2 linked regions of the Cricetulus griseus genome follow. Each later gene encodes a partner of the first gene's protein in a complex. Links are inferred from orthologs where the notes say so. Each region holds a gene or a part of one and is shown in the gene's direction. Other genes may lie near its edges.

Evidence for each region.
Region 2: Htatsf1 (region 1) and Sf3a3 share a complex: the UniProt entries of both Homo sapiens proteins name them as parts of the 17S U2 SnRNP complex. The link is inferred for Cricetulus griseus from reciprocal best matches to the Homo sapiens genes HTATSF1 and SF3A3.

What each region holds. Positions count from the first base shown.
Region 1 is NC_048604.1:15,383,283-15,387,033, reverse strand, and holds the start of Htatsf1 (HIV Tat-specific factor 1), read left to right. Parts: upstream 1-985; 5' UTR 986-1,128; intron 1,129-1,355; 5' UTR 1,356-1,411; coding exon 1,412-1,600; intron 1,601-3,203; coding exon 3,204-3,384; intron 3,385-3,745; coding exon 3,746-3,751. UniProt on the Homo sapiens protein: Component of the 17S U2 SnRNP complex of the spliceosome, a large ribonucleoprotein complex that removes introns from transcribed pre-mRNAs.
Region 2 is NC_048595.1:28,339,880-28,343,530, reverse strand, and holds part of Sf3a3 (splicing factor 3A subunit 3), read left to right. Parts: intron 1-87; coding exon 88-157; intron 158-2,066; coding exon 2,067-2,231; intron 2,232-2,317; coding exon 2,318-2,428; intron 2,429-3,592; coding exon 3,593-3,651. UniProt on the Homo sapiens protein: Component of the 17S U2 SnRNP complex of the spliceosome, a large ribonucleoprotein complex that removes introns from transcribed pre-mRNAs.

The sequences.
Region 1 (3,751 bases):
TCTCCAGCTTCTGGTACTTCTATTTTATTGTTCGCCAAATCATAAGTGAGTCTCCCTTATCTGTGCCTGTCTTCCCGACTGCTGTCCCAGAACCTCCCCCAGTGCCTGGCACTTAATAGGAGTGCAGTATAAACCTGCCTGTTTTAAAACATGGACCCCTTGTCGTGTAGAGAGACATGAAGTATTTTGGGGAAAAGTTCTGCTTATGGCAGTTAGTTGGTTGCCTTTCTAAGAGACAAGAAACCGAGCCACATGGTCCAGCTGGCATTTGTACACGGGGATGTTTACAGTCAAGCGTCAAGTTCCAGGCCTCAGCACCTCTGGTACCTTGCAGTATGATGCAGGCAACTGCTACCCTCAGCAACTGCAACCTGAAGGGAAGGTGCTACCAGATGCATAAAAAGGGGGTGAGCTTAGGAGGTGATGGGACCTTCTGCCCATGTTCAGTCACTTATTCACTCACTCTTCGCTAGATCCCAAACAGCATGTTACTGGTTTGGGTTACTGAGATGAGCAAAAGCCGTGTGTCGTGTAGTGTAGGACAAGAAATTCAAAACGATATACTTGGTTCCTTCGCAGGGGCGGGATCTGGCGTGAAAAGAGGCGCATGGCTTTCGCGAAGCGGGAGAAACTTGTCCCCACGGTCCCACCCACCTCCCCAAGATGGCGGTTGCCGCAAAGCCCAGCCCGCGCCAGCACTGCTGTCAGAATGAGGCTGTCGCCTCGTCCAAAGTGCAGAGGACGCCGCCGGGCCCAAGGCCCCTGCGGTGTCATGGATTCCTGCAGGCTTGCGTCCCCATCGGGTGCACGGACACTCCGGCGGCAGCCTTCCCTGGCAGCCCCGCCCCGCCCCCCCGCCCCCCCCCCCCGCCCCCGCCCCGCCCCCGCCCCGCGTCGCGGCCATTTGACGCAAGAGTGGGCGTGTCAGCGCGACCCGCTACGTCGCCACGCGCGGTCAATGGCGACCGCATCGGCCTGAGGCGGACTCCGTTCTCAAGCGACTTTCCTGTTGAGGCGGGAGGGAGCTGTGGTGCCTCCGGAGCCGACGGTGGCGGTGACGGCGCGCCTGCGCGCTTCCGCTTCGCCCTGGCCCGAGCGGGGGCGTCCAGGCCCCGCCGAGCCCGCCAGGTAGGTGGGGTGGCGGCCACTGCGCCGCCGGCGGCCTCGGAACGCCAGTGCGCGCGCGCGCGCGCGCCTGTGGGCCGGCCGGGAGGGCGGAGCCTGGGCGGCGCGGCGCGGCGCGGCGCGGCTCAGCCTTCCCAGGGACTGCTGGGGCGTTGCGGGGAGGCGGGCCAAGGGGGCTGCACCGCACACGACCTGAGCTCTGCCGACCTCCGGCTCTCTCACTTCTCCAGCGCCCTGTCGGCCTCTTCACGTCTCTGAACGCTGCTCCCGGCCCCGCTTCAGAAACATGAGTGGCAACAACTTGAGCGCGAACGACGAGTTTGACGAACAGTTGCGAATGCAAGAATTGTACGGGGACCCTAAGGACGGTGACACCCCGAACGATGCCTCCGGAGAAACGGAATCTGCGGGGGGACAACCGCAGGATGACACTCCCTACGAGTGGGACCTTGACAAGAAGGCTTGGTTCCCCAAGGTAAGAAAAGGGTGGCTGGACTGCCGCTGCGGAGCGTGGCTGTGGGCTCCCCTGGACACCCTTGCCGGACACCCCCTCTTACGTTTGCTCTTCTCAAGTACTAGGTCCTTGAACCGCTGCTTGATGGCTCGTCTGTTCCGTCCGTTCCAGTATCCGATGTATAAAGGAAAGAAAACCTTATGGTGGTGCCTGAAATGTTCTTTATGCCTTATTAATTTTTGTGAAGGTCACAGGCGTTATATTGATGACTGCTTTTTATTGCCAAAAGGAAAAACACCAAGGAAAACACATTTGTAACCGTTTTATCCTGTATAGCCAAACCTGTGAGATGTCTAGTGTCCATGCTGTGGATAAAATGCAGCTTGTTGATTTAGGGGGCGGGAAAGAAGGCTTTTACCCCACTCTATTGAATAAACTTTCCTTGCGTCTTGGTTTATTTTTCTACTGAATTTTGTTCCAGGGCATCTAAGTTTGACTCTTGTAACCACAGGAATATGACTGGGAAAGCACAGAAAATGGTTGGAAAAGGTCTCTACATTCGTTTTGAGTACTTGGAAATTGCTGTGTGTTTAATTTCAACGTGGAAATAACTAGTGTAAGCTGTATGGAGAAAGTACGCTGTTAGTCTTAGCCTAGGAGGGGCATTAGTATTAAAGGTTACGAACAGCCCGTCAAGTGACTTGGGAGCCAATCACAAAAAAACTTGTCTCCATTGTGTAGACCGAGTGTTAGTTTAAAAAGTATTTCAGCTATTCTTTCTTATTTTATATTTGTCCATATCTCAAGCTCCCCAAATTGTTGAAATTTGCTATCCCGTTTCTGGACTTGTAATGCCACCTTGAATGTAGATGTGATTTCTTCTACCTTCTGAGCCCTTTTAATAGTCCGACGGCAATTACTTGGTAACTTTATCTTTTACGTTACTTAAAACCCTGGTTCTTCAAACTTTGGGGGTAAAATTTTCACTTTTCTGTGTACCTGAAAGTGATAGTCATAACTCATAACTCATTCAGCCATTCAGCCATTCTACAATAGTGGGTTCCCCTGCAAAGCCAGGGCGATGGGTGTGTATCAGGCTTGCCTTTGATTTTGTTCTGTCACTAAGCGTTTCTCTGAATTAGTGCTCAAACTCAAATGGGCATTTTGTGTTCTAGCAGTTTCCAGCTTCATACATAAACATAAAAATCTTAGTGTACATACGTATTTTTGTGCATCCAAAAGTGGATTCTGTGATTAGATTTCTAGTTGACTTTTGGTTTTACTCTGTATCATTATTTGATACTTCTTTTGTTCTCTGTATCGGCCACCTTAGTCAGATATACTGTGGAGAAGCAAGAATTTATAAGACAACTAGAAAAGGTGCTAGCATCACTTAAAATTCTCTCATACTTTTTTGTTGGTAGTTTGAGCACTTTTTCATAGTTTCGTACTTTTTTCGTGTTACAGTTTCTATATAAGATGACTGCTCTCCTATTATATTTTAATTATTACAACTACCCTTGGCATAAACACTTGTTAAAGTCTTAGATTATATTACTGAATGTACAGTTGTATAACACATGAAGTAACCATGTCTGCATATGTGCTGACTTAACCCATCTAGATCACTGAAGATTTCATTGCTACGTATCAGGCTAATTACGGCTTTTCTAGTGATGGTGCATCTAGTTCTACTGTGAATGTCCAGGACCCCAACCCAAAGACAGTAGAAGAACCTCCACAAAGAGAAACCCCAGAAACCACTGACTCCAAAAAGAGGGGAGAAAAGAGAAAGGCCGAATCAGGCAAGTGGTTCTGTTTTGCAAAACCTGGGTGTAAAAAAGAAATAGGAAAATGTGTAAATACATTTTACATTTTGGAGGATTATACTAGCATTGAAGGAACATAATGTAAGTTTTCACTTTTATGTAGGCGTAAAGTCATTAAGAATTGAGATAGCCTTTTTCTTTTTCAGAGAGAGCCCTAAAACATTCTCAATCAAGAAGTTTATGTATTTTTGAAAGCTGGGTAATGATTTGAGTTAGACTTAGTTTTCTTAAATAAAGAGAACATTCTAAAAGTTTTTAAGAAGCTGCCACTACCAGGATTTCATAATGTGATTCTTGTTATTTGCAAGTGTTTTATTTATTTCATTTTGATTTTTAGGATGGT
Region 2 (3,651 bases), on another chromosome or scaffold:
CAGTCACAGAGTCAGTGCTCCTTTCAGGAGTAAAGCTGTAGGTGCAGAAAGAACCTTTAACTGACACAGCTTTCTTCTTGTTCTCAGAGACACTGAGAGGAACAAAGATATTGCTTTCCTGGAAGCTCAGATCTATGAATACGTGGAGATTCTAGGGGTGAGTGCATTGTCTTGTGAGAGCTGTGGTGCTGCTCCGTGTGGGAATTAGATATGAAGAATTTTTTTCCCACGTTCAAATAAGGAGGGGGTAGGCAGAAAATTCATTTTAAATTGTGGTTCTCTTGAAGTCCTTGGCCCTTCAGTAGGTTCCTGTTCTGTTGTTAAGTGATATTCCCAAGGCTGCCCAATTCCCACAAGGCCAGACATAGACAACAGACCCCCCCACCCTTTCAGCCAGATCAAGAATAATGCAGCTCTTTGCTGAGGTTCAGCATAGACCGGGGGTGACCCAAGAAGCAGGCACTCAAAAGGCAAGACAAAGGTGATTCATAGCAGCGCTTCAGGGGTGATTTACTGTGACACAGTGTTCTGCCCATGTGGAGATTGTAAAACCAAGCAAGGCTAGAGGAAGGCTAGTACCAAGACGGCTATGAACATTCCTGCATTGTCTCAGGGAGTCCCAAGGGTGGGTGGGAGGTGGAACAGGTTTGACTTGTCCAAGATAACTTGTTTGTATATCTGCCCTTTCTGTGGACAGAAATAAATGATTCTGATTTATTTTTAGCACCCACCAACACAGCTGGGGAAGTAGTCCCCTGCTGCTTCTCTAATGAGTGAGTCTCTTGAAAGATTGGTCAGACATTAGATGTCCGAGGCAGTGACCATGGGCTGTTGTAATGTGGGTAGCAGTGTGGGTGGCCAGTCCTCTGAAGCTGGCTGAGAAGCCATTACCTCCGTGCCCTTGGCCTGATGTATGCCTACTGCTTTCTCCCTTTTCTGGAAGTGTTTTGCTTTTTCAACCAGGACATGGCACCTCTGAATTCTAACCAGTTCTACTGAATTCTAACTAGTTCTAGCCTGTGCTTCCCAAAGTTGCTCTCACTCTGAACCATAGGATGTTTGTCATTACTTCGCCATTTATTTATGGCTGTTGGTTTTGAAGCATTATACTGAATTTTCCATATGAAATGAGTGTGTCGTGGTCCTTAAGTACCTCACACTGAGGTCAGAGAAATGAGTGGCTGCATTGAAAGTCAACCAAATAGGGAACTCATTGTGAATGGAAGTGGCCGTCTTGGGCAGGGCGGTCACCACAGTAGAAAGACTGGCTCAGCAGTGCTGAGACCTGTGAGGATCCAGGCTTGTGCACTAAAACCTTGGACTTCCTTCAGAACCAGGTGTGGACTGTGAGCATGGTTCTAACAAGAAGGCAAGACTTACTCTCCTATTTTCTATTAATTTTTAAAGTTACTGAGTGGGGTGTGTGTGTGACAGAGATACATGTGTATGTATGACATGTATGTGACGTGTGTGAATATAGTCTCACATGTGGAGGTCAAAAGACAAGTTTCAGGGGCTGGAGAGATGGCTCAGCAGTTAAGAGCACTGACTGCTCTTCCAGAGGTCCTGAATTCAATTCCCAGCAACCACATGGTGGCTCCCAACCACCTTGAATGAGATCTGGTACCCTCTGCTGGCATGCAGGCAGAAGACTGTATACATAATAAATAAATAAAATTCTTTAAAAAAAAAAAAAAAGACAAGTTTCAGGACTCTGTTCACACCTTCACACCTTGGTCTGAGGCCCCATCTCCCTCCCATTGGTACTGTGCTTCATGCTGCAGACTAGTCTGCCATGGGCTTCCAGGTGAGTCTCCTGTCTCCACCTCCCATTGTGTTCTAAATGCTAAGATTGTAGATGTGGTTTTTTACCTGGATTCTGAGGCTTGAACTCAGGTCATCAGGCTACCTGGCAAGTACTTTTTAAACAGCAGAGCCGTCTTGCCAACCCTTATTCTACAACCAAAACCTATCCTTGGCAGGAAAGCATCAGCAAGAGTTAGAGAAACTGTCCCTTCATGTCTACACTAATTTCCTCTGTCTTTGCTCTTTATTACCCATCTTAGGAACAGCGACAGCTCACTCATGAAAATGTACAGCGCAAGCAAGCCAGGACAGGAGAAGAGCGAGAGGAGGAGGAGGAGGAGCAGATCAGTGAGAGCGAAAGTGAAGACGAAGAGAATGAGATCATTTACAACCCCAAAAACCTGCCCCTGGGCTGGGACGGCAAAGTAAGCCTCATGGGACCCCTCTCCTCTCCCATTGTGGAAGCACACAAGAGCTTGGTAATCTAATGCTGTTGTTTGGTTTCTTTTAGCCCATCCCCTACTGGCTGTATAAGCTTCATGGCCTGAACATCAACTACAACTGTGAGATTTGTGGAAACTACACCTACCGAGGGCCGAAGGCCTTCCAGAGGCACTTTGCTGTAAGAAGTTCAGAGCCTTTTCTCTTGGGAATTGAGTAGAAACAACTCTTTAGAGAGGAGAATGGTAGCAGTCTGTGAAGGCCTCTAGTGTCCAGAGCTGAAAGGAATCAGAGAGGCCTGTGCCAATGGCCATCGGCTGTGCTAGCCCTGAAACCTGGGTCGTATCTGGAATCGTGCTACCACTCTGCTGTGGAACTTCATGTGGCTTCCTCCTGCTTGTTCTTATACTTTTCTCTGGAGACAGGGTTTCTCTGTGTAGCTTTGGAGCCTCTCCTGGTACTCACTCTGTAGACCAGGCTGGCCTTGAACTCAGATTCACCTGCCTCTGCTTCCCAAGTGTGGATTAAAGGCTTGCGCCACCACTCTTTTCTTGTTTTTCTATAGCATCTTGGACCATCTCTGGCTTCTTGGTCGTCTCTACATTGCTATTAAAGGGGGCTGAGCAGGTTTTTGTAGTTGTGGGTTCTTTTTAGGTTTTAAATAGGCCTTTGCCTCTTTGCAGAAAAAAATAGGCCCTGATATTTACTGACCTATTCTTGACACAAGTTGTGTCTGAGTACTACTACCTCATTTTAAGTGGGTTCACCCTTGTTGCATTCTGTCCATTTTTGGAGGGCATTTTACATAATGGAAGAGACTTAATACTAGACAAACATGGCGAATTACATGAACTCCCCTCTGAGACATGTTACTAGCTGCCCCTGGGTCTTTTTCTCTATGCCTCTGATGAGCTGAGTTTTTCTTAGTACCACCTCAGGTGATTGGGGTTGGTGTCCAGGATAAAGCCTATGGTGGCTTTAAGCTGAAGTTGTGATTTCACCATGCTCTGTCTGCTCAGCAGTTTGCTCCTGTACCTCCAGGGATACCAGCCTGCCCTCACAGCCCTGCTGCTATGGTTGCTGGCTCTATCAGCTTCTCCATAGGATTGAGTAATGAGTCTGAGTTGCACTTTTCTAACAACACCAACCCTGGAATCTGATGTTTGTAAGCCTGAGACAGTGCAGCCCTGCTTGACATTGCCAGCCTGTGTCAGTCACAGCCAGCTGTGTGTGTAGACACACCTCAGAAGGGATGCTTCCTTTTGCTGGAGTTGGGTCTGGTAGAATGAAGTGAGTGCTCTCTCAACTGTCTCTGCTTCACATTGTCCCTTTGCTTCTCTTCTAGGAATGGCGTCATGCTCATGGCATGAGGTGTTTGGGCATCCCAAACACTGCCCACTTTGC